Astyanax mexicanus: one gene and its partners. The protein of the gene in region 2 interacts with the protein of the main gene of each other region in a pairwise test. Links are inferred from orthologs where the notes say so. Each region holds a gene or a part of one and is shown on either strand. Other genes may lie near its edges. The genes, in order: memo1, tacc1, lsm7 and ckap5.

What was found.
Region 1: the proteins of tacc1 (region 2) and memo1 interact in binary tests that used the Homo sapiens proteins (3 or more experiments, as listed by UniProt). The two-hybrid records come from large-scale screens. The link is inferred for Astyanax mexicanus from reciprocal best matches to the Homo sapiens genes TACC1 and MEMO1.
Region 3: the proteins of tacc1 (region 2) and lsm7 interact in binary tests that used the Homo sapiens proteins (3 or more experiments, as listed by UniProt). The link is inferred for Astyanax mexicanus from reciprocal best matches to the Homo sapiens genes TACC1 and LSM7.
Region 4: the proteins of tacc1 (region 2) and ckap5 interact in binary tests that used the Homo sapiens proteins (3 or more experiments, as listed by UniProt). The link is inferred for Astyanax mexicanus from reciprocal best matches to the Homo sapiens genes TACC1 and CKAP5.

The regions. Positions count from the first base shown.
Region 1 is NC_064432.1:14,305,215-14,312,893, reverse strand, and holds the start of memo1 (protein MEMO1), read left to right. Parts: upstream 1-4,676; 5' UTR 4,677-4,941; coding exon 4,942-5,002; intron 5,003-7,679. UniProt on the Homo sapiens protein: May control cell migration by relaying extracellular chemotactic signals to the microtubule cytoskeleton. Mediator of ERBB2 signaling.
Region 2 is NC_064427.1:21,873,877-21,881,101, reverse strand, and holds the start of tacc1 (transforming acidic coiled-coil-containing protein 1), read left to right. Parts: upstream 1-4,223; 5' UTR 4,224-4,716; coding exon 4,717-4,865; intron 4,866-7,225. UniProt on the Homo sapiens protein: Involved in transcription regulation induced by nuclear receptors, including in T3 thyroid hormone and all-trans retinoic acid pathways. Might promote the nuclear localization of the receptors.
Region 3 is NC_064423.1:26,828,619-26,835,181, forward strand, and holds lsm7 (U6 snRNA-associated Sm-like protein LSm7), read left to right. Parts: upstream 1-4,151; 5' UTR 4,152-4,270; coding exon 4,271-4,276; intron 4,277-5,115; coding exon 5,116-5,206; intron 5,207-5,294; coding exon 5,295-5,366; intron 5,367-5,633; coding exon 5,634-5,776; 3' UTR 5,777-6,045; downstream 6,046-6,563. Other genes in the region: sass6 (spindle assembly abnormal protein 6 homolog), read right to left, coding at 324-495, 670-774, 1,227-1,306, 2,642-2,702, 3,009-3,073. UniProt on the Homo sapiens protein: Plays a role in pre-mRNA splicing as component of the U4/U6-U5 tri-snRNP complex that is involved in spliceosome assembly, and as component of the precatalytic spliceosome (spliceosome B complex).
Region 4 is NC_064417.1:7,117,996-7,125,699, forward strand, and holds the start of ckap5 (cytoskeleton-associated protein 5), read left to right. Parts: upstream 1-4,702; 5' UTR 4,703-4,837; intron 4,838-5,078; exon of another isoform or gene 5,079-5,346; intron 5,347-7,704. Other genes in the region: cstpp1 (centriolar satellite-associated tubulin polyglutamylase complex regulator 1), read right to left, coding at 374-476, 582-630. UniProt on the Homo sapiens protein: Binds to the plus end of microtubules and regulates microtubule dynamics and microtubule organization. Acts as a processive microtubule polymerase. Promotes cytoplasmic microtubule nucleation and elongation. Plays a major role in organizing spindle poles.

The DNA of each region.
Region 1 (7,679 bases), on a different chromosome or scaffold from region 2:
TTTTAAGAATGGGTGGAAAGGAGAGACTAAAGGAGGAGGTAGAGCAGGAGAGACTAAAGGAGATGGAGGAGGAGAGACTACAGGAGGTAGAGGAGGAGAGACTGGAGGAGGTAGAGCAGGAGATACAGGAGGAGATGGAGGAGCAGAGACTACAGGAGGTAGAGGAGGAGAGGCTGGAGGAGGTAGAGCAGGAGAGACTAAAGGAGATGGAGGAGCAGAGACGGAGGTAGAGCAGGAGAGACTAAAGGAGATGGAGGAGCAGAGACGGCGGTAGAGCAGGAAAGACAGGAGGAGGTAGAGCAGGAGAGACAAAAGGAGATGGAGGAGCAGAGACTAGAGGAGGTAGAGCAGGAGAGACTAAATGAGATGGAGGAGCAGAGACGGAGGTAGAGCAGGAGAGACAGGAGGAGGTAGAACAGGAGAGACTAAAGGAGATGGAGGAGGAGAGACTACAGGAGGTAGAGGAGGAGAGGCTAGAGGAGATGGAGGAGCAGAGACTAGAGGAGGTAGAGCAGGAGAGGCTGGAGTAGGTAGAGCAGCAGAGACAGGAGGAGATGGAGGAGCAGAGACTAGAGGAGGTAGAGCAGGAGAGACAGGAGGAAATGGAGGAGCATAGACTAGAGGAGGTAGAGCAGGAGAGACTAAAGGAGATGGAGGAGCAGAGACGGAGGTAGAGCAGGAGAGACACAACATGTTAACATTCACAGTGAGAGGGGAAAAGTATGTGAACCCCTAGACTAATGCCTTTTCTAAGAGCTAATTGGCCCTATAAAAAACACACACCATGTTTGAGTTTGCTGTTCTTAAGAAACATTGCTTGATGTGAATCATGCCTAGCTCAAAAGAGCTCTCAGAAGACCTACGTTTAATAATTATTGACTTGCATGAAGCTGGAAAGGGTTACAAAAGTATCTCTAAAAGCCTTGATGTTCATGTGTCCATGGTAAGAGAGACTGTCTACAAATGGAGAAAGTTCAGCATTGTTGCTACTCTCCCTAGGCGTGGTAAAGTCCTGTAAAGATGACTGCAAGAGCACAGCGCAGAATGATCAGTGAGGTGTGGAAGAATCATAGAGTGTCAGCTGAGGACTTACAGAAACCTCTGCCACATGCTAACATTTTTGTTGACAAATCTACAATAAGGAAAACATTAAACAAGAATGGAGTTCATGGGAGGACATCACAGAGGAAGCCACTGCTGTCCAAAAAAAAACATTGCTGCACATTTGAAGTTTGCAAAAGAGCACCTGAATGTTCCAAAGCAGTACTGGCTAAATATACTGTGGACAGATGAAACCAAAATTGAGTTGTTTGGAAGGAAAACACAGTGCTATGTGTGGAGAAAAAAGGCACAGCACACCATCATCAAAACCTCATCGCAACTGTGAAACATGGTGGAGGGGCATCATGGTTTGGGGCTGCTTTGCTGCCTCAGGGTCTGGACAGATTGCCGTCATCAGTGGAAAAAATAATTTTCAAGTTTACCAAGACATTTTGCAGGAAAACCTAAGATCATCTGTCCCCCAACTGAAGCTCAACTGAGGATGGATGATGCAACAGAACAACGACAGAAGAAAATACGCCTTCTGGAGAGTCCTGACCTCCTCAACCCAATTGAGATGCTGTGGCATCAAGACCTCAATAGAGCGATTCTCACCAGATATCCCAAGAATATTATAGCTGAACTGAAACAGTTCAGTAAAGAGGAATGCTCCAAAATTCCTTCTGACCGTTCTGCAGGTCTGATCTGTAACTACAGGAAACGTTTGGTTGAGGTTTTTGGTGCCAAAGGAGGATCAACCAGTTATTAAATTCAAAGATTCACATACTCCCCCCCCCTCACTGTGAATGTTAACATGTGTTCAATAAAACCATGCAAACATATAGTTTTTTGTGTGGTATTAGTTTATGCAGACTGTTTGTCAATTGTTGTGACTTAGATGAAGATCAGAAAACATTTATTGACCAATTTATGCAGAAATCCGAGTAATCCCAAAGGGTCCACATACTTTTTCTTGCAACTGTACATACTGCCCCAGCGATATTTGTGTTCTGCCACTGTCTGACACAAATCCTCAAGCAGGTTGGTGGCACTCCATCTCTCCCTTGACTTCATAACTCCTGGCACAACACAGTATTTTTCAGGAAGTGTTCTGGCTGAAGTTGCTCTCTAAATGAGGACTTGTTTCCACGAGCATCGAGAACAATGTCAGGAATCGGTAAGAAAGCTGAAGTTGTGCCAGGGCTGAATACTTCATCAAGACAACGCCCCTGAATACGTCCCAAAATACACTAGGCAGAGGAACAAGTACAAAGTTCTGGAATGATCATCTCAGTCCCCAGACCTGAATATTATTGAACATCTGTGATTTAAAGTGGGCTGTTCGTGATCAGATTGATTACATTTATTACTTTAGAGCCCTGTACATAATAATACTTTACTTATACAAGAGAATATATAATTCCATTAATATAACACAAACAAGAATCAGTGACTGAGTTTACATACAAGAAAGCCAGTTACAATACATTTATCAAATGATCTTTTAGATATCTTGTCACATCTCTGTAGGAGAGAGAGACTAAAGGAGGTAGAGCAGGAGAGACTAAAGGAGATGGAGGAAGAGAGACTACAGGAGGTAGAGGAGGAGAGGCTGGAGGAGGTAGAGCAGGAGAGACTAAAGGAGATGGAGGAGCAGAGACTAGAGGAGGTAGAGCAGGAGAGACAGGAGGAAATGGAGGAGCAGAGACTAGAGGACGTAGAGCAGGAGAGACTAAAGGAGATGGAGGAGCAGAGACGGAGGTAGAGCAGGAGAGACTAAAGGAGAAGGAGCAGAGACTACAGGAGGTACAGCAGGAGAGACAGGAGGCAAATGCTCATGCAAAATGTTTGTCAGAGACAACATCCAATCAGAACGGATTTAGTTTTGTGGAAGGTAGGGACCAGTTAAAAAGAGATCCAATCACCACTACTATAGCATAGGTGGAGAGGCGGGACAAGCAGGGTAGTCAACCCTGCTAATCATCAACAATAAATTAAATAAACACTTAAAATAGATCACTCTGTGTTTAATACATCTATATAATATATGTGTTTCACTTTTTGAACTGAATTACTGAAATAAAGTAACTTTTTAATCATGTTCTTTTTTAGATGCACTTTTTAAAGCACTGAATTTCTATTAGAGTAGTGAAAATCATACGTATCAACTTCCAGCAGCAACATTACACAACCCTGGAGTTTTTAGAAGACAATAAACATGGTATTAGTTCCATCTACAGGCCACAGTGCGTAATTACCTGAATTTTCCCCTCACATTAATTATCTCGAGATTATTCTCTCGGGATTTAGAGTATTGTCGATGACTAACACATTTTTAACTGTTTATTATGTAATTCGGTATGTGTCTCTTAACTGTTTTCATTCCTTTAATTTTAAACTACAGAGTAGAAAATACATATAATAAAGAAAAACATTGAATGAGAAGGTGTGTCCCAACTTTTGACTCGTGCTTTATATCATATATTTGTATGTATTAATGTCAACTGGAGGGTAATACAAAATAAAGAAAGAGCTGGTTTATGGAAAGCCTGCTCACCCACAACACCTTATTAACCACCTGGGATATAATAGCAGCTATCTAGCAATGAATTGTCAGCAACTTAGCAACCACTTGATAAACCATATCAACAACTAATTAAAATTAATTAACTAATTAAAATCTTCTTTTGCATGATTATATATATATATATACGTATATATATATATATATATATATATATATATATACGTATATATATATATATATATATATATATACATATATATATATATATACACATATATGGTACAAATAAATATAAATGTATATAAATGTATACATATAAATTACATTTATACCAATGGTATATAACAGCTTATACCAGTTGTAAGCTGTTAACCAACTAATACATTTTTTTGTTTTATTTTTACAGTATATATTTTCTATATTCAGTGTAAATGTAAATGTAATTTATGTTACAACATATATATTTTTTACAATATACATTTTTTATTTTAACTAATATAATATATATATATATATATATATATATATATTAAAAATAAAAACAAAAACATGTTTTGTTTTTAATTTACCTATAGTTAACAATAAATGTATGTTATAAAAAACAATTGTATGTTGTAACAAAATAACAAAATGCATTTACATTTACACTGATATTAAATATATATATATATATATATATATATATATATTAAAAATAAAAAATATATATAGCCTTTTATATTCAATAAACTGTAAATGTTAAGTTAATTGTCAGGCCTTTATTTACAATATACAAATTTTTCGTTTTTTTAACAATATATAATTTGTTTAAAGTTTCTTTTTGTTAGTTTTTACAATATTTTTTATATTTTATTACTATTATTATTTATTTTATTTTTTTTACTTAAAACTTGTGGTAGTTCACTGCTATACTGCTAATCTTTTAACACTTATGGGTGTTCTAAAACTTTTGACTGGTAGTGTAGACCATATATTTGTGTATTAATGTGAATTAAAAAAAAAAATAAAAATAAAAAACAAACAGTCTCTGGGTGTGTTTCCCTTTAACTGAAACCGACCAATCAGAATTGCTGGCTGTGTGGAACGGCAGGACGGAAGCCGAATTGAGACACACCGACCCGTCCGAGTACAGGCTCGCGCGCCGCTCCGAGCTTTGTTCTTCTTCAGAGGCGGATAGGGACGGTCTGTGCGGAGTCCTGCGATGATCGCGTGATTTCAGGGGTTTGGTTTGAACATATGTAGAGCAGCAGATCCGCCCCGGCTCTAACACTCCGCTCCCCGCCGCTATTGATTGATTGGTTGATTAATTGATTGGGTTTCTTCCCCACCGATCAGAATTCCATCTGACCAAGATAGGCGGCTCGGGCACCAAGATGTCGAACCGAATGGTGTGCAGAGAAGCCAGCCACGCCGGCAGCTGGTACACCGCCTCAGGTACAGCCGCAGCCGGGGAGCGGGGGGCTGGCCACGCGTGCCCGCGGCCCGAGCTTCGGGGAGCTAGCCTGGCTCTTCGGCCTGTTATTGCTGGCGTCGAGCGGGCCGGTGTTGCGTCGGTTTGTGCTAACATGCCGAAACGTGCTTCCTCAGCGTTACATCTATATTTTTAGGCTATTAAAAAAAACAAGGAGCAGAGTATTAGAATATTTTCCTGTAGGCTGTAATCTACGGAGCCCGGGAGGGGCCGTGGATAAAAAAAATAATTAAATCGAGTGAACGATGTAGCAGTTCGTGCTCACGTTTTCTTTAATTCGAGTGAACGATTTGCAATTCGTGCTCACGATTTCTTTAATTGGTGCTCACGATTTCTGTAATTCGTGCGCACGATTTCTGTAATTCGAGTGAACGATTTCTGTAATTCCTGCTCACGTTTTTATGCAATAAGACAATAAGCTGGGAGGGAAAGGAGCATTTTCTCTCTTGATCTGTTACAGGGGTGCAGTGATGATAATCAGTTATCTACCTTTATAACCTGCTGATATTAATGCACTAGTGTTACAGTTAGATGTACAGTACAGTGAGCAGATTTTGCCTGGTGGTGGAATCTCTACAGCGCGTGGGGGAGAGCCGTCCGCGGCACGGGTTCCCTGGCCGCGAGCGCAGGTCTTCACGGAGCTTATTTACCAACAATATAGACAAATATAGTCAATTCCAGTCATGATTAAAGGAAACAAACATTACTAATGCAGGATAACTGTGTGTTATTAAAACCAGATCAAAACAAAGTTATAATGCAATGTGGAACTGTTTATAATTTCTTATTTTCAACAATAGTATACACTCTAAGAAATATAAGTACAGATTTGTACTTAAAAGAGTACAAAGCTTGTCGCTGGGGCTGTACCTTATATTGAGGCACAAAAAAGTACCTTTCAGTAAAAGTCCTTTTTTGTACCCATGGTTTTTGTGGCAGTAAAGATCATAAAGATTATAAACATTATCATCAACTAAATATGGCTCAAAAACTTGATGATACAAAATTGTCTGGCTTTCAAATAAAAACTGTGCAATTTAAATATATATTGTTCATTAGTACAGTGATGCAGAATACTGAATGTACCCTTTGGCTGGTTAAATGGTACAAATTTGTACTTATTACTGTTAGAAATGACTTTGTACTTCAGAGGGAACAAATCTGACCCTGTAAAGACCAATATTGTACCTTTGAGGGTACAATTATAAAGAGTGTACCTTCGAGTACAAAAAAGTACTCATATCGTACCTCTGTTTTTTAGAGTGTAACGTAAAGAAGTATAATTATATAAATATACAGCTATAAGACTTAGGTCCAAATGTACACTGTAAAAGTTAATAAAGATAATACAAAATTAATGCAAGGTGTGACAGTTGTCTATGAATGGCTCATATAAGAGCTGCTTTAAATATGTAACACTATATAAAATCAAAATAGCTGGTCTAAAATACTATTAATACAATGTATTAAGATATTTAGTAAATAGGCATTTCATATAATAATTTGGATCAATTTGATAATTTATTCCAATATGTTTCCTAAAATAATTAAGTTTCTATATCTGATGAAATGTCCTGAATATCTGCTTATTCTCAAATCACAGTGTCCTGCCCAGAAACATGCCACAAGCTTCAAATAAAAAATATAATAATTATAAACTTCTTAAATGTATATTTTCTGAATTATGTGTTTATTTATTATACAAATTATTAAAATATAGATTAAATCTATCATAAAAGTAATAATGATGTAACCAGATTTAAGAAGGTGTGCATTTCCTTGGAGGCTGGCTGAATGTTATTTAGAAATTAATAAACACATTTGCACATTGCATTATAACTTTGTTTTGATCTGGTTTTAATAACACACAGTTGTCCTGCATCAGTAAAATGTTTGTTTCCTTTATTCATGACTGGAATTGACTGTATTTGTCTACATTGTTGGTAAATAAGCTCCGTGAAGACCTGCGCGCGCGGCAGGTGTCTGGCGGCGGGGGAACCGATGCCGCGGACGGCTCTCCCCCACGCGCTGTAGAGATTCCACCACCAGGCAAAATCTGCTCACTGTACTGTACATCTAACTGTAACACTAGTGCATTAATAACAGCAGGTTATAAAGGTAGATAACTGATTATCATTACTGCACCCCTGTAACAGATCAAGAGAGAAAATGCTCCTTTCCCTCCGAGCTTCTTGTCTTATTGCGCATAAAAACGTGAGCACGAATTACAGAAATCGTTCACTCGAATTAAAATAAAACGTGAGCACGAATAGCAAAACGTGAGCACGATTTAGAGAAAACGTGAGCACGAATAGCAAATCGTGAGCACGATTTAAAGAAAACGTGAGCACGAATAGCAAAACGTGAGCACGATTTAAAGAAAACGTGAGCACGAATAGCAAATCGTGAGCACGATTTAATTATTTTTTTTATCCACGGCCCCTCCGGGGCTCCGTAGTAATCAACATGTCAGAAAATAAATAATATCAGAAAACATTAATGATCTAGTATTATATATAAAAGAAATACTAAAATAAATAAAAGCTAGCCAGGCTAACAGTGTTTATTATTACAGTAGTAAGCACTGCAGTTTTTAAACCCCTATTTACAGGCCGGTCACAATAATTGCATTATCGACTT
Region 2 (7,225 bases):
TCAAAGATCTCTGTTTGAATGTATATATGTGCCCACAAATGTTTAACTAACTCAAAATATTTGAGTATTGTTTAGAAATATCCAATTTGATGTAAAACAGACTTAAATCATTTGAGGTTAAACAATGTATGCGCTTACAGTGTGGGAAAAAAATCTATATTCATATGTATTTATTAGTTCTGTCAACATCAACACGTTAACCCAAGCAATCAATCCGGAAACTTTTAATACGTTTGCCAAATTTTGCCGCAGCTTCCCCCCAGATTTACCACCAATCCAGCATGTATGTGAGCAGCACTTAAGCCTCACCTATTTTTCAGTTCTTACTGGTTTTCCAGTCTAAGCTGCAGTACAGGAAAGGAGTAGAGGTGATTTCCATATCTGAGTGATAAAGGTACAATAAAAGAAACAGTGAGTGTAACTGAACTGAAAGGGTCGAAGAGAGGTTGATGTAAATGATTTAGTCATAGAGTTTTTTTCGGCATTCTAATCGTACATTAGTAAGTGTACATAAGGTTCCATTAGTTTGTTAGCCACATTAGCCTTAGGGCAAAAAAAATTAGGCAAACTGTCCCTTTAAGAAAAATGCTATGTTTGTGTTTATAAATGCAGTGTGGGATGATGATAATGAGCTAAATTTGTTGTATAATGGTTCTGATTGGACTGTTTTTCTCATTTTCCTGCTCCTCTGGTTTTCCCTGGGTTAACGGTCTCTATGAGCAGTTCTGGCCCGAGGCCCGGCTGAGCTCTGACGTGGAACTGATCTGAGTTTAGTTACATAAGCGAATCAAGGCTCCTGCAGACCTCCTCTGTGTTCCTAACCCGTCTGAGCAGAAATGTTCTGATGTTCTGATTCTGTCTCTTTCTGCAGCTACAGGAACAATCACATTACAGCAATCTCTGTTTATATAACCCAGCATCTGACGACAATAAAAATATCATTTATAATTATAAATTAGATTTCATAATTGAAATATATATATTCTTATTCTTATAATTTTTTTCTAATATTCTTCTTCTTCTACTTGTTATTATTATTGTTATTATTATTATTATTATTATTATTAATGTTAACAGCTACAAGAATCATAATCGGACTAATAACACTATCAAGAATGTCTGTAAATGTAACTCCTGTATCACCTGTCACACAAAGCAAATATTAGTAATAATATAGTAATAATGGTTAAAATAACCCAGCACCTTTTAAATATACAGATACACAGAACAACAACAATAATATGTTATATATATGAATAATATGAATAATCAGAATACTAATAATATTAAGAATCTCAGTTTGTGTAACACTACACCTGTCTACAAAAACTATAACAACAATAATGTAAATAAATACATATTATTTAATATAACTAACGTAATAATTATTTCAGTAAGACTTTGTGTTTAAACAACCCAGCATGTTTATACAGCTTTTTTAATAAATTGTAAAAGCAATTAAATGAAGATCATGAGGGCGTCTTTACAAGGGCAACATTTGTACATTTTCGACAGTCTAATGTAGATATTAATTAGAATCCACAATTATTTTTCACAGAACTTCTCCTTTAAAGTCTGAGAAACAGACTTATTAAAGTTTTCATGTAAAAATAATGGCATTTAAACAGATACAGATGGTATAGAAGCATTTAATAGTAAGCAGTAAAGATTTATTACTTTTCAGTGTTTTTTTAGTTTCAGTATTCCTTTAAAACAAAAAAAGACTTATTTAATAAAGTGATGATTCAGACTATCATGAAGATCAAAGTTGTGAAGCGGTCAGAAATAAGTGAAACAGAGCAGTAGAGCAGATAATAAACGTTGCTGAAGCTGCTCAGATGTTCTCCTGCTGCCCTTTAGCGTGTGATGGTATTGTTTGTGGTGGATAGCATAGCAACACACACACACACATATGCACACACACACACACACTTTATTTTTAGAGTGTTTATGGAGTGGAGAATGTGGTCTGCTTTGCTGGGGCACTTTAGAGAATCCACAAAGAATAGCAGCTCTAATACATCCTCCACACCAGCGGGTTAGTAAGAACTGGGCCAGATGGTAATAGTGTTATGAAACTCCTAGTCTATTGCTGCACCTTAAACTCCTCTGGCTTTAAAGGTGTCCTTCTACTAAAATCCACTTTTTCTTGTTCTTTGTGAAATACAGTTGGTCTCTCTAAATTGTATATGATGCTGCACATGAAACTCTTCCTTAACTTTTGTTGTGTGCAGTAGCTAGTAAAAGAAAATATTCAGAAAAGATCAGTTGATCAGAAAAAGCATTGTGTCTACTCAACCCGTGATTTAGTATTCATGGCCCCGCCCACTTTGGATTAGTAAGTGTTTTAAACTCAGATTAAAGTTATGTTGTTGGGGGTGTTTGGTTTCGGATGGTTGTGGCATCACCATGGATCAAACCAGTAACCTTAATGATGTTTTTATCTTTTTAATGGAAATACATCAAATGCTAGGCTAGGCTAACTAGCTAGGAGTAAGTGTTTATGAAATAAGTCAGAAAAAGAGAATGACTCAGAACAGTGAATCGTTCAGCTCATGGAATCTTCAGCTGTCTGATTCGTCTCTCTGCAACATTGAGGAGCTGTTTTTAGCATGTTGTGCTAACTAGCATCTCAATGCTAATGATCCACTATTGCTGGACTGTAGCACCTGCCTGTGTGTGTGGCTGTTTGTGTGTGTGTGTGTGTGTGAATAGTGTGTTGTGTGTATATTGTATGTGTGTGTGTGTGTGTGAATAGTGTGTTGTGTGAGAGTGTGTATATTGTGTGTGTGTGAGGGAGGTTTGGGAGTAGGGAGGAGGATGTTTCTCAGGCAGGGCGCCAGGGCGTGCTGAACAGGTGTGTGGGAGCGAAAGTGTTAGGACAGGTTTTTCAGGTGTGTGTGTGTGTGTGTGTGTGTGTAATATGGTGCAGGCCTTGCTGGTGCTGAGGGCAGTGAGACGGTTAAATCGGGCTGCATTCCACAGCCGCTCCACTGTTACCATGCACACACATTATACACACACAGTGTGTCTCTCTAACTTCCTCTCTTTCTTTCTCTCTGCTTATTGCGTCTCCCTTTTTTCTGTCTCTCTCTCACTAGGTCTGTCTCTTACTTTTTGAAAATTTATCTCTCTCAATAGTACACTCTTTTAACTACACCTATTGCTAATATCTCTCACTCTCTCTATTTTTCTTTCACTAGTACTGTCTCTCCAATTCTCTCTTATAGCTAATATCTCTTTATCTTTTTCTCTCACTAGTTATCTCTCTCTTTCTTTCACTAGTATTGTCTCTCTCAATCTCACTTCTCGCTAATATCTGTCTCTCACTAGTACTCTCTTTTAACTAGAACTCTCACTTCTTGCAAGTACCTCTCTTTCACTAGTACTGTCTCTCTCTTCCACTAGTAGTGTCTCTTACTCTTGTTTTCACTCTTCCTCTTCCTCTTAATTGTTGCTAATATCTCACTCTCATTAGTACTCTCTCTTTAACTAGTACTCTCACTTATTGTGCATATATATTTTTTCCACACACTTGTTGCTAATAACTCTCTTACTAGTGCTCTCTCACTATAAGTAGCTCAGTATTATTGCTAATATCTCTTTTCCTACACAAATGTTACATTTTTCTCTTTTTTTCTGAACTTACTTAGAATGTTTGTATTTAACTTGTGTAATTTTTGTTAGTGTATTGGGAATGTTACTTTAACATTTCCATAATGGTAGTATTCATCTAGCTGAGAAAGTTAAGTGATAAACATTCTAATAATATAAACCATTATTATTTCACGCATTTTCACAACATTTCTGAGCATTACTTCTGTAACGTAACAGGCTAATCTTTCTGAAACCTTTTCAAAACGTTGATAAACGTTCTTATATCGTTCTCTGTTAGCTCGGACTCTTTCTTATCTTTTTTTAAGTAGTACTCTCTCTCATTAGAAAAGCAGAAGAGAGGTAAACAAACAGAGCGAGCCAGAGACAGCGAGAGAGAGAGAAAGAGCACATGCTGTCTGATGGAATCTACCATTCTGACTGAGTGTGGGTGGAGGGATGTTTAACCCTAAAGTCTAAATCCAGCCTTTTCTCTTAAAGTGCAGAACTTCCCCTCTTTCCTCCTAAAACCCCCCTTCAAAATAGTCCTGCCTCTTAGGGGGAGGAGGGGGCGACCAGCTGATCACTGCTGAGGCATTCAGAGCTAGAAAGAGAGAGAGAGAGAGAGAGACCAACTCAGAGAGAGAGAGTTCAGTCTGAGCCAGAAAGAAAGAGAGATAGAGAGAGAGAGACTAACTCACAGAGAGAGAGAGAGAGAGAGTTCAGTTTGAGCCAGAAAAAGAGAGAGAGAAACTCAGGGAGAGGAGGAGGGGGAGAGAGAGAGAGAGAGAGAGAGAGAGAGAGAGGAAGCCTCCCTCGCTCGCTGCAGTAGATTGAGGAAGCAGCTCCAGTTGAGAAGTTGCTGCACGAGGTGAAGGAGGAAGAGGCTGTGAGCGCGCGCCATGAGCCCCAGCCTGAGGACCTGAGGAGCTGCCAGCTGCTGAAAACATCTGGAGGAGGGTCAAGAGACACTGTGGCACTGTGGGAAAGAGAGCGAGAGAGAGTCGGTGTCTCAGACTGGGTGGATCAGACTGGACTGTTTTTATCCACACAGCAGAGGAGTGTGTGTGTGTGCTGAGCTGAATTGGAGCAGTGTGTGTGTGAGTGTGTTATTGAGCGGCGATGTCGTGGCTGTCGCCCGTTCAGTGGGCTAAGTGGACGTGGTCGGCTGTTAGGGGAGCGGGTGAGGAAGAGGATGGAGAGATGCGCGAGGAAGAGGAGGATTGTCCGCAAGAGGGAGACGAGGAAGAGGAGAAATCCCAGAGCTACAGGCAAGACCAGCAAACTACAGACAAACAACAACAACTACAGGGTTTAACAAAAACTACAAGGTGTATCTGTAAACTACTGGATTTTACTAAAAACATACAGAATTGAACCACAAACTACAGAATTCAAACAAAAACTTCAGGGTCTTTCCAGAAACTACAGCATCTCACTAAAAAACTACAGGGTCTATGCAGAAACTACAGTATCTAACAAAAAAACTACAGCATCTTACTAAAAAATGCAGGGTCTTTCCAGAAACTACAGCATCTCAGTTAAAACTACAGGGTCTATCCAGAAACTATAGTATTTAACTAAAAACTACAGGGTCTATCCAGAAACTACATAATCTAACAAAAAAAGACAGGGTCTATCCAGAAACTACAGTATCTAACAAAAAACTACAGGGTCTATCCAGAAACTACAGTATCTAACAAAAAACTACAGGGTCTATCCAGAAACGACATCATCTAACTAAAAACTACAGGGTCTATCCAGAAACTACATCATCTAACTAAAAACTACAGCATCTTACTAAAAACTACAGGGTCTTTCCAGAAACTACAGCATCTCAGTTAAAACTACAGGGTCTTTCCAGAAACTACAGTATCTAACTAAAAACTACAGGATCTATCCAGAAACTACAGAATCTAGCTAAAAACTACAGGGTCTAATCTGAGTCTACAAGACCTAACTGGAACTACATAATTTATGTTAAACTACAGGATTTAAAATTACATGGTCTAACCAATAACTACAGCCTTGAACTACAAACTTCAGGGTTTAACCGAAAACAATGCCATTTACTCACAAACTACAAACATGATAATTAACTACAGACTTTTGCTCAGATCTATTTACTGGATGGGAATAAAACAACAGGATTTAACAATTTAACAATTGACAGTGTTTAACTACAAACTACTGGGTTTTAGTTAAACTACGTGCTGTATGTTTACAAACATGATGTTTTGGTCCAGATGGATGGATGAATGGAAGGATATATGGATGGGTGGATGAATGAATTGATGGATAAATGGGTGAGTGGATAGATGTATAGATGGATAATTGGATGGATTACTGCTGGACACATGGATAAATGTTTTGAAAAAAGGAAGGAAAAAAGGATAAATTGATAGAAAGATGGCTGGGTGGAAGGAATGAAAGAAGGAAGGAAGAATGGATTGATATATAGATGGAAGATAGATAGATGGGTGTATAGAAGGATGATGTTATTAATAATAAACGTGTGTGAATAATAGTTATGTAACTGAAGACGAGCTGTGTGTGTGTGTGTGTTTGTGTAGGGATATTTATATGTATGCTTTGGCGCACAGAGTGTGTGTGTGTGTGTTCCTACAGATGTCTGTGGGTGCCCTGGTAACGGTTGGCAGAAGTCACGTGTTAGTGCATGAATTTGTGTGTGTGTAAATGTGTGTGTGTGTGTGTGTGTGTGTGTGATGAGTGCATGGGTATTTTTAGATTTATGTGTATTATATCCCCCTGAGTTTTACTCACAGCAGCTGTTTCTATTACTGTATCATTAACATCGGTATATGTAAATGTGCTTTGTTTCAATTGGATGCCTTGTATTGTTCTAAATCTGCAAAAAACTTAACTAATGCTGCTGTAGGCTGAATGGGTGGAGCTATAAACTGCTGTAGGCTGAATGGGTGGAGCTATAAACTGCTGTAGGCTGAATAGGTGGAGCTATTAACTGCTATAGGCTGAATGGGTGGAGCTATAAACTGCTGTAGGCTGAATGGGTGGAGCTATAAACTGCTATAGGCTGAGTGGGTGGAGCTATAAACTGCTATAGGCTAAATGGGTGGGGCTAAAAGGCTATAGGCTAAATATTTAGGCCTCTCTCTTTCTGTCTTTTTTTCTCTTTCTTTATATTGTGCCTTTCTTTATCTTTTTCTTTCTTTCCTTTTCTCCTTATATTTTGAATATCTCTCTCTCTATCTTCCTCTCTCCGTCTCTCACTTTCTCTATCTTCTCAGTGTTGTGTCTGTATGTATGTGTGACGTTGCAGCTGCAGTTTGGCTGTTTACTCTGCTTTAACTGTCGCCTCACACACAGTGTGTGTGTGTTTTGTTGACATCCTGTCTTTGTGGTGTGTGTGAACATTCCTTTTAGGAGAGCTGCTTTCTTCCCTTGTGTGTGAAAAGAAACACACACACACACACACACACACACACACAGACAATAGATCTAGTAGCACTTCTTTAAACGGGAGGGAACTGAGAGACACAATTAGAAAAGCAAAAACACACACACACACTGTGTCTCTCTCTCTGCTGGAAGTGAGTCAGAGCTGCTCAGAAACAAACACAGCTTAGACCAGTCATCCTGTGGGAAGGCT
Region 3 (6,563 bases), on a different chromosome or scaffold from region 2:
TTACAGTATGTCCAGGCCCTGCAGCTCAGCAACTGTTCAACAACTTATTCAAATAATATAATTATTTTAGATTATTTTATTTTAGATTTGTCTTTAGAGTAAAAAGGCAGCCCTTAAAAATTACAAAAGAAACATTATAAAGTCATTTAAATGCATGTAAATTGTGTACCTAGGCTGCCCAATTCACTTTTATTTATCAATCTATGAACATGGTAAGGTTGGGAGAACTCACCTATGCATTGTTCAATGCAATGATAGATTCTTTATACATTCAGAACACACATAAATGAAGACAATATTGTGAGAACTTATGATTTTCTGACCTTCACTGTGGCTAAACAAGTGGCCAAGTATTTCTTTACTTCGACGTCCGAGCCAGGCAGCAGTTTTAGAGACAGATGGGTGAGGTGCTTGAACGCATTGGTCTCCACTATATTAAGATTTGCAGGGCTGTGGTTCAATGCAGAGGAGGTGGAGGAAAGCTGTAGCAGAAACCTGAAATTAAAAATGAGTATGAGAATGAGCATACAGATAGTGAGTTTTACACTCTTTTCTACCATTGTTTCATAAAAAATGTTTATTGTGTCAGTTATTTTGTTATTTTGGCACAGTTTTACTTATTCCTCATATTATGAAAGACAGAGAGACAGGAACATCGGACATCTGTACCTTGGGTTCTCTCTGTCCTGCTCGGAGATACACTGGTCTAATAGGTCTATAAACTTCTGAGGAAATGAAGTGAAGTCTATAAGCAGACCCTGCTGGACTTTTAAACTGTGGGGAGAGTGAAGAATCAAAAACAGCAGTCATTAACATTTTAGGAGATCATGTTTAAGGAAGTCAACAAAATGTGAAATTTAACAAAAAAATTTAACTGGTGTACTGTAGATGTTAAAAGCAGAGGGTCAAGGACCTGTACACCAGTGTCAATATACTCGAGTGAAGTCAACTCAAGTGTATTATTCTATTGACAATACAGTTTTATTACATCCAATTAATTGTAAGATTAAGATACAGTAGATAGAAATCTACTGTACATTGCTTAAAAAATACTTTATATATAATTACATCTCCACTTATGTCTCTCATAAAATCCCACTGAAGTATCAGAACTAAGTGGGGAATCATTTACCCTGACACAGGCTGGTGTATGTGAATATACAAAAGTATTCATAAAACTGTAACATCAAAAATCAAACAACCTTGCCAAAGACACAATATCATACCTTTGGAAATCCTCCTCTGATATTACAAGGTTATACAGAAAGTAGAGATCAGCATCGTCAGTCAACCTCACCACTAGATCCTAGAAAACAAAACAACATTTCAGCTTCAGTACTGTAGTTTATAAAACATTGGATAATATATACGTTTACTTAAAGATATTCCTTAAAAACTAAAGTAGGACCACCCTGATGTCTGAAATAATCTTTCTGCCTTCCTTATTATTGAAGGAGTTATTGACTGATACTGATGGATGCTCTACCCTCAGGTTCTCCTGTCACCTGTTCAGCCAGACTGATGGAAGTTTATGGAAGTCAGGTTTTCATGTCACCCACCAAAGATCAGCTGCCCACAGCCCAGTTTATGCCACCTTCCTCCAGATTATGCCACCTGGACTCGTTACTCACTGTCCACTACCAAGCACATCAAAATATATATGAACTCTAACTAGAATTCTGGATAGTGGCTATTCACCTCAAAATGCTACCACATTTCTGTAAAGCTGCTTTGAGACTTTAGTTGTAAAAGATGCATAATAAATATTTTTTGATCTGATTTTTTCAGATTTTATTCATCATCATAATTATTCTTATAGATTGTAAATATATAAATAAATGATAACATGCTGTAATGATTTAGCTATTAACCAACATTTTGTCGTGTTACCTGTTCTTGCTATATATTCTGTATCTATTTGCTACTGTTTTTAGAAACTTTTTCTAATGACTTTCTCAGTCTGTGTAAACTAACATACAGCTCTGTTTTTTACCATCTGGGCTAGGGGTGTGCCGTACGCAATAATATCGCCATCATTTTTGAATATCATGAACAATTTTATACCCTGAAATATCGTGCCACATAACCCACCCGTAATTGTCAAATTTATCAAAAGAAAAATTCACACTGTTCCCATTTCCCCATTATATATCTACCGGTATCATTCATTTTACTTTAATCCTGGAAATATAGAGAGCAGTATTCGTATCATGACATTCTGCATCATTGACAAATCTGATAAAATTCTTGTATATTTTAATATCTCAGTTAGGGGTGTGCCATATCATACTGTATGTGTTGTATGTACTGTATTGTATTTAATTTTGTTGCAGTAGTGTATTCTTTAATATTTTTTTTTATTCAGGTGTTTTGTCATATCGCCAAGAGTATCCTTATCATTTTAGATTTTTACCTGGAACCCAATTAAGTTTCATTATAGAAAACACAGATTACTACATTTTGAACACAACTTAATATAACATAAAGGAATAAGCAAACACAGAAACACATTGTAGTCTGTAGCTACAGTATTGTACATCACAGTGCACCAATCAATGCCTCATTGCCAACCCATCTAAGTACCTACCAAACTAAACTAGCTAATTGAAGAATAAATGGAAGGTACGTTTTAATCTCTCACCTTTTTGTGGATGGGGTTTGAAGTAAGGTGCAGTTCAGTACTGACACGAATAAACGACCGCCTGAAAAAAAAGTCAGTTAAAGAGTCAACAATAAAACACCCACTTCAGAAAACAGGAGAACACTACAGCAACACAGCAGTACATTCACAATAATATATTGATATTAGCTACCATGTAAAATGAATAACTCTAATGTAGCTTAGGTCCATCTGTTTAACAGTATAATGCTGATCATTTTAACTCAGTACTGCAGTTTTATTTGGTGTATTATTTTAGCTTGTTTGTTAGCATGCCAACCTAGCTACCGCCGGCTAGCTATGTTAGGCTACGATTAGCATAGCATCAAGAAAAGTGGACATCTGTTACCTGTCGTCGCAATCTTTACACTTCACTTGGACCTGTAAAGTCTTGTTAAAGAGTAATTCCGTCATGTCTAGTTCATAATCCGACAATTAATCACCGAAATTCGTCCGTTTCAGCTTTAATTCTGACCCCAGATTTGCAAGCGAGCACCGAATTTCGAGTTTGGCGCTTCGCCTCCCGCTGTAGTCGGAAATAATGAGCAAGGGTGCGTTCCAATACGCGCACTTGTGACCTTACTAGGGCGGATAGCTAGTGCTAATATGCGCGCTACAGTTACAGTATTAGGTGTAGGCGCCCACGTTAGATTCTATAATATTAGCTTAATGGATGATATATATCTTTTTTCCATTAAAATACAAGATTATAACCAGAGTTACCATATTTACCGGACTTTAAGTAGACTTTTAAGATTAGTTGGTTTCACAGGTGAAAGTGGTTTCAGTGCAGTTTTTAATGTGACATCTATTTGCGAGATCTATTTTAGGGCTGTGTGGATATGTCAATCTGACCTCTTCAAACTGATTTTTAACTCAGATTTACTGTTAATGTGTAGATGGATATTTTTTGAAGACAGCCAAATCTGATCTGAATAAAAAAAAAAACATCTGAATTGATCAATAAATATTGTAATATGTAACCTAATTGTGGACTCTTTGTATATGAGATTGTGATAGGGTTTTATAAATGTATAGTATCAGGTGCTAGCTATGTTTGCTTGTATTAGTCCATTAATACTTCTTAGTAAACTAGCAGTTTAGCATTGTGGAGTACACTTGGCTCCTTACCATAAATATTTATATAATATCTGAATAATATTTGGTGCAATGCTAATAATAGCCAGTCACGTGTAAATCTACTTCTACCCTTATTGGTGTATTTTGCTTGGGAAAGGCAAACAATTATTGTATATTATATGATTTTGGCTTGCCCACTTGTGCATGGTAATATCATCTACGAAAACAACAACAAAATTACATTTAGTGTACTAGTGTATATAACCCATAAATGTGACAATTGGGACGCCCCCGGGGACTCTTCTCTTAATTCTCTCTCTTAATTTCTCTTAATTTTCTCCTTGATTTTGCCTTGTTTTCAGGACCGTAGCTCTCTGTTATTGGTGGTTATTTATCTCAGATTAAAATGTTGTTTTTAATGTTATGTAAAGTCTGTATATGTGTAGTGAAGACTGAAGGACGCCGCCTGTGATTGGTGGAGGAGCCGGGGTCAAAGGGAGGATCAGCGAGGAGGCGCAGAGGAGAGTGAAGATGGCGGTGAGTATGAATGCTGCTGCTGCTGGAGGAATATTCTGCTCATTATTCTATGGAGTTTCTGTTCTGGAAATATGATAAAGAAACCTCGCAGCGAGCAGTTATCAAAACGCCAGCGGTTTTCTTACTGCAGTATGAACAAAAGCTGGTTATATATAGGCTGATAATGAAGCGAAGTTAGTTCCAGTCCTAACTAGCAGGAGGCTAACTAGGTTAGCTGAGGAGTTCCAGACATAACCTAAATAGGTTAACTAGTGTAGGGTTATCTAGCTAGTCGGCCTGACCCAAGTTCTCAGAATATATATTCACTATAAAAATGTTAGCGAGGTTAAAGTTGTCTTTTTATAATATATCTAGTTCTTTTGGTATAGACCATTCCACCTTAAATGGCGGCATCGAATGTAACTGATGAACAGTTTAAGGTGGAATGGACTAAATAAAAAGCTATTTCAGCCTCTAACAGCAAGAAAATGTTTCATAAACTGACACAATCGATCAATTAATATTAACAAAAAAATAATTGTAAAAAGTAATACAACTTTTTTCTGGAATTCGGAACAAATGTCAGTAGTTTATAGAATAAAACAACAATGTTAATTTAACTTAAGCATATACCTATAAATAGCAAAATCAGAGAAACTGATTCAGAAACTGAAGTGTACTTAAGCCCCCCCCCCCCCTTTTTATAGATGTCATGCAACGATTTGTAGTTCAGTTTTATTTAGAAAAAAGATTATAAATGTTCTTATTAGGAGTCTATGAAAAAACATTTAATCGCCTACTTTGTGCCGTTCCAGTTATTCTCTCACTACTTATTAAGTTTTGTTGTGGTTCATTTACAGGATAAAGAGAAGAAAAAGAAGGAGAGCATATTCGACTTGTCAAAATACATTGACAAACCAATCAGAGTAAAATTCCAGGGTGGTCGTGAGGGTAAGGAACATTATTTCTAGTGTAATGAGCGTAACACTTATTCTTGTGCCCTTTTTTTAAGCATTGTTTTTTTTTTTTTTCCACACAGCCAGTGGTGTCCTAAAGGGGTTTGATCCTCTGTTAAACTTGGTGTTGGATGGCACAATTGAATACATGCGTGGTAAGTATCAGAAAGCCATTAACGTCTTGTATTTCTCTCTGAATGCCTATGCATCTCGCATGTCGTTTCCTTACACAGTCAGGTAGGTTATTTAAGGATAGACAACAGAGTTTGTCACTAACATTGTGTTAGCAGCAGTGTAAAAAGACTGAGAATTGTTCTGTCTGAGAATGTTTATGCCAAAAAATTGTACAACTAATACAACTATTAAGTTTTATTAATACTTAAGTATAATAGTTATCTAAAATCTGTCACTCCATTACTCAGATCCTGATGACCAGTACAAGCTGACGGAAGACACCAGACAGCTCGGCCTGGTGGTCTGTCGGGGGACAGCAGTCGTGCTGATCTGCCCGCAGGACGGCATGGAGGCTATTCCCAACCCCTTCATACAGCAGCAGGATGGCTAATACACACTCAACCCTGAACACAGTCTCACACACTGTACGCTTTGGGATTATGTGACTGTTTTCTAAAAAGGTGTTTGGTTAAGGAAAATGAGTTTCATATTTCAGTTACACCCAGTATCATGGATCCGGACGTCATTTAGTCATTCAGAGATGTAACATACTACATTTACACCGCTGGTTTTGTTTTGGCTTCTGTCAGCTATTTTAGTTTTGTCTTGTTTCTAAATACGGATCTGAATGATTGATTAAACTGTGTTGAGTTATGTTCACTCTTTATGTCTGTTATGTTTTTTAGTAATTGTTTTATTATTAAAATTGGACATTCATAAAATGTTTGGAGTTAGCCATTTCTCTTTTAATGTTTTTTTTTTTTTTAATCTTTAAACAATTTATCGAGCAGTTATTTTTTTACTAAATATAAAGGCCACTTAATTTTCGGATTAAAGAGAATAAAAAATAATAAAAACTAAATGAGGATCTACTAGCAACACAAAATGATGTGAAATGAACTCAATTAGCATCATTTGTACTTGTTTAGTTTACATTCCTATTTATATTAAGAGCAATAGTTTATAACAAATTAAAAACATTTGAGTTTTTTCAGCCTATACTGCATCTGTAATGTAAAGTCTAATATTGTGGACCGTATGCGTTTCCCAAAAGAAATTCCCACTAGTTTAGAACATGTATATCAGTTGCTTGAGCACCTGCCCATTAGCATCTGTGGATACAGATATCCTCCAGAAATGGTAATGTGACATATTGCAGCTGCCTGTGTTGGTTTTGT
Region 4 (7,704 bases), on a different chromosome or scaffold from region 2:
GTATACCTGTAACTCTACCTCTTCACTACTTTACAACTGATGCTCTCAAACACTTTATTAAGAGGCAGAAAATTCAGGTAGCTTAATTAACTCTTGACGAGTTCAGCACAGCTGTTAACTGAAAGCCTGAATTTCAGGTGACTCTACCTCATAAAGCTGACTGAGAAAATCCAGCCAACATGTTCAAATCTGCCATCTAAGCAAGAGGTGCTACTTTAGAATCTAAAATATAAAAACATATTCTGGTTTGATTAACACTTTTTTGGTTACTAAATAATTGCATATGTTTTTCTTTATAAGTTTAAAGACCTTAGTATTAATCTACAATGCAGAATAAATAAATAAATGCTGTTATTTGTACAGGTAGACTCACTATTCTGCAAAATAGCGCACGATGCCGAACTGAATGTACTCCTCTCTGTGCTCCAGCAGCTGCGTGACCGCATCACTCAGATAGAACAGGGCATTAGTCTCGGCTGAAACACACAGCGTTAATACACGGATTACTGCTTTAAAACCGCGCCTGCAGTTAAATACTGCGATTCTGCGTTTAGTGTAATAATAAAAAAGACATAACATACCTAAATAGTCGTCTGTTGTGAGGGTAAACCGCTCTGTGTTCATTTTCATCGTCTCCTGGATACAGCCATACTGCAGCGTGCAGCTTCTTCCCACCTGTATTCCGGCAGGCCCCGCCCTGCACTACAGGGATTGGCTAGTGGTTCACACAGCTTTCAGCTGTTAAAATAAAAATAAAACTATTTTATAATTGAATGTACAAATTAAAACTGTTTATTTTGCTCCAAAAAGACTAGAAAAAACTAGAATATTTATTTATTAATGTTGTTATTCAGAATTTTAAAAGATCGTTCTAGATATTTTCCAATAAAGTGGATTACAGGGTAAATATAAATATAATGATGTTATTTTGGGTTTTAACTGTAATATCTCTTCTGTCAGCTTCACTTAGAATCTGATCCTTTTTGGGAAATATTATCTGCACATCTTCAGTTTCATCAGTTTTTCTTGTTGAATTTAATATATTTATCGAGTCTCTTAATTGTCTTAGCAATAAAAAAGATGTATCCACTATAAAGTGTATAAAGAAAAAAATACCACAATATTTTTCAAATATATAATCAATTCTGACATTACAACATCACAACTTTCTGTAAACAGAGAGCACAATTTAAAGTGATGCACACGCTATTGTTTTCATTAACATAATTTCAACTTTACATACAGCTTTTATATTAAACCCGCTGTAAACATGACCTCCTTGTATTTCAGTTAAGGAAAAGTGTAAAAATATAAATCACTGTCACATAAAAGAGTTATTTGCAGGTTTCTGACAAAAGCAGAAGCCTTTATACTAAAATTCACTCTGGCAACTTTGACATGTAAAGGTGTACAATTGTAGGAGGTGTGTTTGTCTAAAAAAAAAAAAACAAATAAAAACTTTTTTGTAATTTGTATTTTTTGTCATTTCATCTTTATCATTACTGAAGAGTCAACACATAGTACGTCTTTACGTCTTTATTAATATGATGAGAAATAATTTCCCTTTAAAGTATAATATCATAAAAACTGTATGTGCATAGCATACATAAAGGAAAGAGCTCCAAAGTTTAAACAAATAGGAAAATTTAACGTAAGGCAAACAAAAAGAAAATCTAAATCCAATTAATATTCTATTACTACTTATTAAAAAGGATTATTTGTTAATTAATTTAAAAGAAAAGTAATATAAAATAATACACAGAAGGTAGAAGGTGTTTAAAAACTCGAATTATGAACTATAGTCCAAATATACTAATACATCTTTAGTACATGCAAGAAACTGCAAAACAGGCCACGTTATACTCTATTTCAGTCGTCTCAAAAAAATCGAAGGTATTGACATTTCAGCCTAGCAACGTGGCCAAGAAAATTTACACAAAAGGTCTATTGTAGTTTATTAATATATGTTTTTGTTCTAGTTATTTTAAAATATAGACCGATAACTATGGATATATTTCACATTCTGCCTACTAGCCAATCCCAGTGCAGGGCGGGGCTTGGTAGAAAACGGGTGGGAAAGAGAGTTCGTGACTGCAGAGGCAGAGTCATGAGTCCGGCAGCGCGATCTAGTGGTGAATTCAGGGAATGAGCTTTAATAGCATTTCATAATCTGTAGTTAAAGCTGAAGCCTAAAGACTGCATATGAAAATTCTGAGGTTATCACATATTTATTTTATAGAATGATTGGTTCATTCATCTTAGAAAAATATTATACGCAATTTAACTGTTTTTTCTACTTAAATGAATGTGAATAATGAAACAAAATTAAGCAAAATGTGTAGATGCACACGTTAAAAAGAATAAATGCTGCACAATTTAGTTTCCCTATGTCTAAGTTAGAAATTGTTTAATGGTTTTTTTTCACACGTTTATTATTTAATGAAGTTTAGTAGTATTTCATGAGAATAAAATATCAGTGCTGATAGAAGACAAGGACTACATAAAATATAAAATGTATAGTTATAGTACATTTATAACATTCAATTAGTCAAATTTACAAAAAAGTACATAAAAAACAGGAGGTAGACTACTTGTCAGCATTATTTAAACAATTATTTGGATAATTTATAATGTACAGGACCAGAGCTAGGAAAACTGCAGGGACAAAATGCCAATTTTATATACCATCTTCAAGTAACAGAATAGAATAATTTTAAGATAATTCTGAGTATGCATCAGCTTAAATCTTGAATCTACACAGACAGAGAGAGAGAGAAAGAGAGAGAGTATTATATCACTATAATCGATATAATTATTATAATTACTATAATAACAATTCAGTGGGTTTTTTGTATTTTAAAATTTCTGCATTGTACATTAATACTAAAGTCATCGAAATCATGAAGAGAAACATATACAGGTGCTGGTCAACGAATTAGAATAATTTGAAATAGTGCAATCATGAAATTCTTTGAATGCATTTTTTGTGCAGAAAGCAAATCAGGTGTTCACCGCACCTGTCCTACTCGTTAGACTAATCACAGAACTCGTTACCTGGAAAAAAATTTGCTCAGCTGAGCTTTCCAAAAGGCCCATTTAGGCCATTTAACTGTGACACTGTTGTTTTATTGAATTAGAATAATGGAGAAACTGTTTCATTGAATTAGAATAATTTTTATTATAATTACAATCATCACTTTCTCAGTATTTTGTGGCTGCCCCCTTGGCTTGTATGACTGCCTGAAGTCTCCGCGGCATCGATTTGACCGGCTTGTCGCACGTTTCCGCACTCACAGCTTCCCAGGCAGTGGCGATGTTCTGCTTCAGTTGGTCCAGCGTAGTAGGCTTTCTGTCGCGAATTTTCCGCTTGACGATGGCCCAAAGGTTTTCAATGACATTGAGGTCAGGCGAGTTGGCCGGCCATGCCAAAACTTCAAGCTGTTTTTTAGTGAACCAATCTTTGGTCGACTTTGCCGCATGAGCCGGTGCAAGATCCTGTTGAAATATGAAGTCTTCTTCGCCAAACTGTTCCTCAACAGTTGGAATTAGGAACGTTTCCAGAACATCTTGATATACGGCAGCATTGACAGTCTTCTTGAGGAAGCAGAGTTTCCCTACACCTCGAGCGGACATGCATCCCCAGACCATAACGCTCTGGGGAAACTTGACGGATCTTTTCACGCACTCGTGGTTGTAGGTTTCGCCACCACGACGCCAGACACGAGGACCTTGGTCACCGAAGGAGATGCAGAAGCGTGATTCGTCACTGAAGACCACTTTCTGCCAGTCTTCAGCAGTCCACTCGCCGTGTTCTTTGGCCCACTTCAGCCGTTTCTCCATTTGTTTCTTGTTCAGCATCGGTTTTACTGCTGGAACGCGAGATTTGAAGCCGAGTTCGCGCAGACGACGGTAAGTGGTTGATCTGGAGACGTCAGCGCCGGTCTGCTTGTTCCACAAGTCGGTGAGCTCGGAAGTGGACTTGAACCGGTTGCTGACTGCGATCTTTCTCAGCTGCTTGTTGTCGCGAGCAGAAGTTTTTCGGACGCCGGAACAGTTGGTGCGCTTGCTGCAGTTTTTCTTGAGAGCTTTGCAGACGGAAGACTGGCTGATGCCGAGCTGCTCAGCAATTTTAGTTTGGGTCAAGCCTTGTTGGCGAAGGGCTTGAATTTGAGCCACTATTCCGGTTGAGAGGTCGCGCTGCTTACCCATGATTGATTTTACAACTTAGAAATTCTACTCAACCCTGACTTTATACTGCACAGTGAACACTCTTCACAGAAAACAAAAATTCGAGCATTTATTCTAATTCAATGAAACGGTTTCTCCATTATTCTAATTCAATAAAACAACAGTGTCACAGTTAAATGGCCTAAATGGGCCTTTTGGAAAGCTCAGCTGAGCAAATTTTTTTCCAGGTAACGAGTTCTGTGATTAGTCTAACGAGTAGGACAGGTGCGGTGAACACCTGATTTGCTTCCTGCACAAAAAATGCATTCAAAGAATTTCATGATTGCACTATTTCAAATTATTCTAATTCGTTGACCAGCACCTGTAGAATTACAATTTACAATTAAGGAAATATGTAGTATGAAAAATATAATGTTAAAGTGCTGAGTAAATAAAACAAATAAGATTGATCTACTAAAAGCATGAAGTTCAGAGCCCCAGGGGTCAGGGTTGTGTCTCCGGCCTGCTCCCGCCGGCGCCTGCGCGCTGTCTGCGGCTCCTCCCTCCCATTCTCCGCCCTTGGAGGCGTTTCAAAAGGCCGGAGAAGAGAATGAGCACAGCGGCTCTGGTAGCTCCAGCACAGCGCCCTGCCTTCCCCAGCCTACTGCAGGTAACCCAGTGCTCCCTCATCTCTCTGCAGCCGATCTGAAAACAGCATAGGTGTGTCCGTGTTATCTGGGCGGAAAGCATCGCAGGGCGGCGGCGTGTGTCCGCGCTGTTCCGCTGGGTGTGTTTCCAGGGCCTGTTGTGTGTGTGTGTGTGTGTACATGTAGATATGAGTGTGTGTTGCGATTCTTTCAGTCTAACAATAGCTAGTGTGTATGTGTCGCATGTAGTTTCCACGTCACGGACTGTAATGCGGTCTCTTGTGTGAAATAATCCGTTTTAATTCATTTTTTTAAATCGTAGTGTTTGGAGTTAGACCTGAAATGTCCGTTTTGCCTCCGCTGTGGTTGCTATGTGGAGGCTAAGCTAAGCTAGCCTCGTACACTGCGTATTTACACTGGCCTGTGAGGAGCTATGTTTCATCAGTCAGACGTTTTAAAACATATTTAACTAGCTGGCTGTCTAGCTAACATGCTAACCAAGTACATTTCCTGCTTTTCTCTGATTAATTTGGTGAGTACTCTGAATAACTAATTAAGTTTATAACCTGGTTAAGCTTGTATAGGAGCTTTAATGCATAACGTTACATAGTTAGCTCGCTAGGTTTGCTAGATAGCTAGCTAAGCTAGCTACGTGTAATATCTAACGTCAAATAACGGACAGAGCTAACTAAGTTAGCTACACAACTGTCTGTACTTTTCATCTATGTGTGCATATGTTGCGTTTAAAGCTATGACTGCCTTAATTTAAAGCTAGTAATAATATATAGATAACATCTGCAGTGTGTTTTTAAGTAGAGTTAAAATAGTCTTCAATCATCCCTTTAAAACAGGACTTTATATGTTGTCAGGTATTGTGCCAGTAGCCTAACCTAACTAAGCTCGCTATCTAAGTCACAAGTATGGGGGAATTTTGTTTAAAAAGCTTAAGCTTAACGTCTGCGTGTATCTTTTATTTGGTACGCTGCTTGTGTGCAGACAGGCTGGGTCAGTAGTTCATATTCTGTATGTTTTGGCTGTCACACATTGGTCTAACGGAGGTCAGTTTGTTTACATGCTAACTAGCTAGCTGGCTAACCTAACTAGCTAACCTAACCTATATGCCTGGCTCATTCTTGTGATATAAAACAAATATAGGTTACCCAGCTAGCTGTACACCTGAATCTGTTATGAAGTCAATAACGTTATTTTTCAGATGGGTGATACTGAGCATATAGTTACAGTACCAGTCAATTTTCTACATTTTCTGTATATTAATATTAAGATATGAAAACAAATAAAATGCACATTAAGCGAAGTAGTAAATTTTCTGCTTTTCTCTGTCTAACGTTAATTCGTTTTTTAGAGTAAGTACTCTGAATAACTTACTAGCTAGTAGGGCTGGGCAATATTATATTGTATACAATATATCGTGACACAGAAATATCATGATATAAAAAAAAAACATATCATGATAATAGGACTGTTCTGTCTTAAAATTTGTCTATTATTTACTGTGAAGCTTTAGGTGTATTTATTGTATAGTTGTTTTAGTTTGCAGTTTATATGCATGCACTAAATATTCTGCAATATTATTTGCTGCATTATATTATTTTATGCTATATTATTTATTCTGCCACATTATGATTATTCAGTTATACTATTATACTATATTCCTGAAATGAATTAATTATTTTAGTTTTTCTATATCGCCAAGTATATTGTTATCGCAAAAATACCCTGAAATATCATGATATTATTTTAGAGCCATATCGCTTTATAACCTAGCTAACGTAAGCTTATTTAGAAGCTAGCGTTATAATGCATACATATTTAGTTAGCTAGCAAGCTAAACTACATAGGTTACCTTTCTGTACATTTAATCTACCTGTGCATATGTTGCGTTTAAAACTAGTCAAATATAACACCTGCAGTATAAGTAGAGGATTTAGGTACGTTTAAAATAACCCACTGTCCTCTCTGTGAAACTGGACTTATGATATATGCTATCCTATAGTTTCCAAGTAGGTACAAGTATCGAATTTTATGTTACAACACGATTAACATGGCTAAAGAGGCTTTTTGTTGGAAAAGTGTCCTATGAAAGCAACGTATGCATATATCTATATCTTATTTGTTATACTGCTTATGTGCAATTATGGTCATATCTGTTGGCTGTCATACATTGTTCTGGACAAAAGGTCAGTTTGTTTATATGCCATCCAACATTCCTCATTATATAAAACAATTAATTTAAAGCAATACACCTGATAATATTTTATGATGTCAATATTTGGGTGATACTGAGCAAATACAGTACCAGTCAAAGGTTTGGAGAGATCATTTCTCAATCAGTGTATTTTTTATGATCTTATTTTTACATTGTAGATTAATATTAAATACATAAAATGTTTAATTAATTAAGTGACTTATTTAAATATGTACCTGACCTAAACCCAACTGAGATGAGCTGGAAAAGATGCAACTATTGTTCCGCACCTCCAGAAACTCCTTCAAGAAGCTGAGAGAACTATCCCAGGTGACTCTCCCTCATGAAGACACTGAGATTAAAATATCAAGAGTGTGCAGATCTGTCCTCAAAGATAAATGTGGCTACTTAGAACAATCTAAAGTATAAAACGTATGTTCTGCTTTAATACTTTGTTTACAAAATATTTCCACATGTGTTCCTGTATAGCTTTAATGTCTTCTTTTGACTGGTACTGTACATCATCATGATATTTTCTAAATAATCAGCGTATCAGGTAAGGTTAAATGTGCTATTTAACAAAAACAGTGAATCTCTCAGTTCCTGTGTGGTACTTTTTCATGCTAGACTTACAAACTTACAAAGGTTCCTGAAAAATTAATATTTCTGTTGGACTGTTTTGTT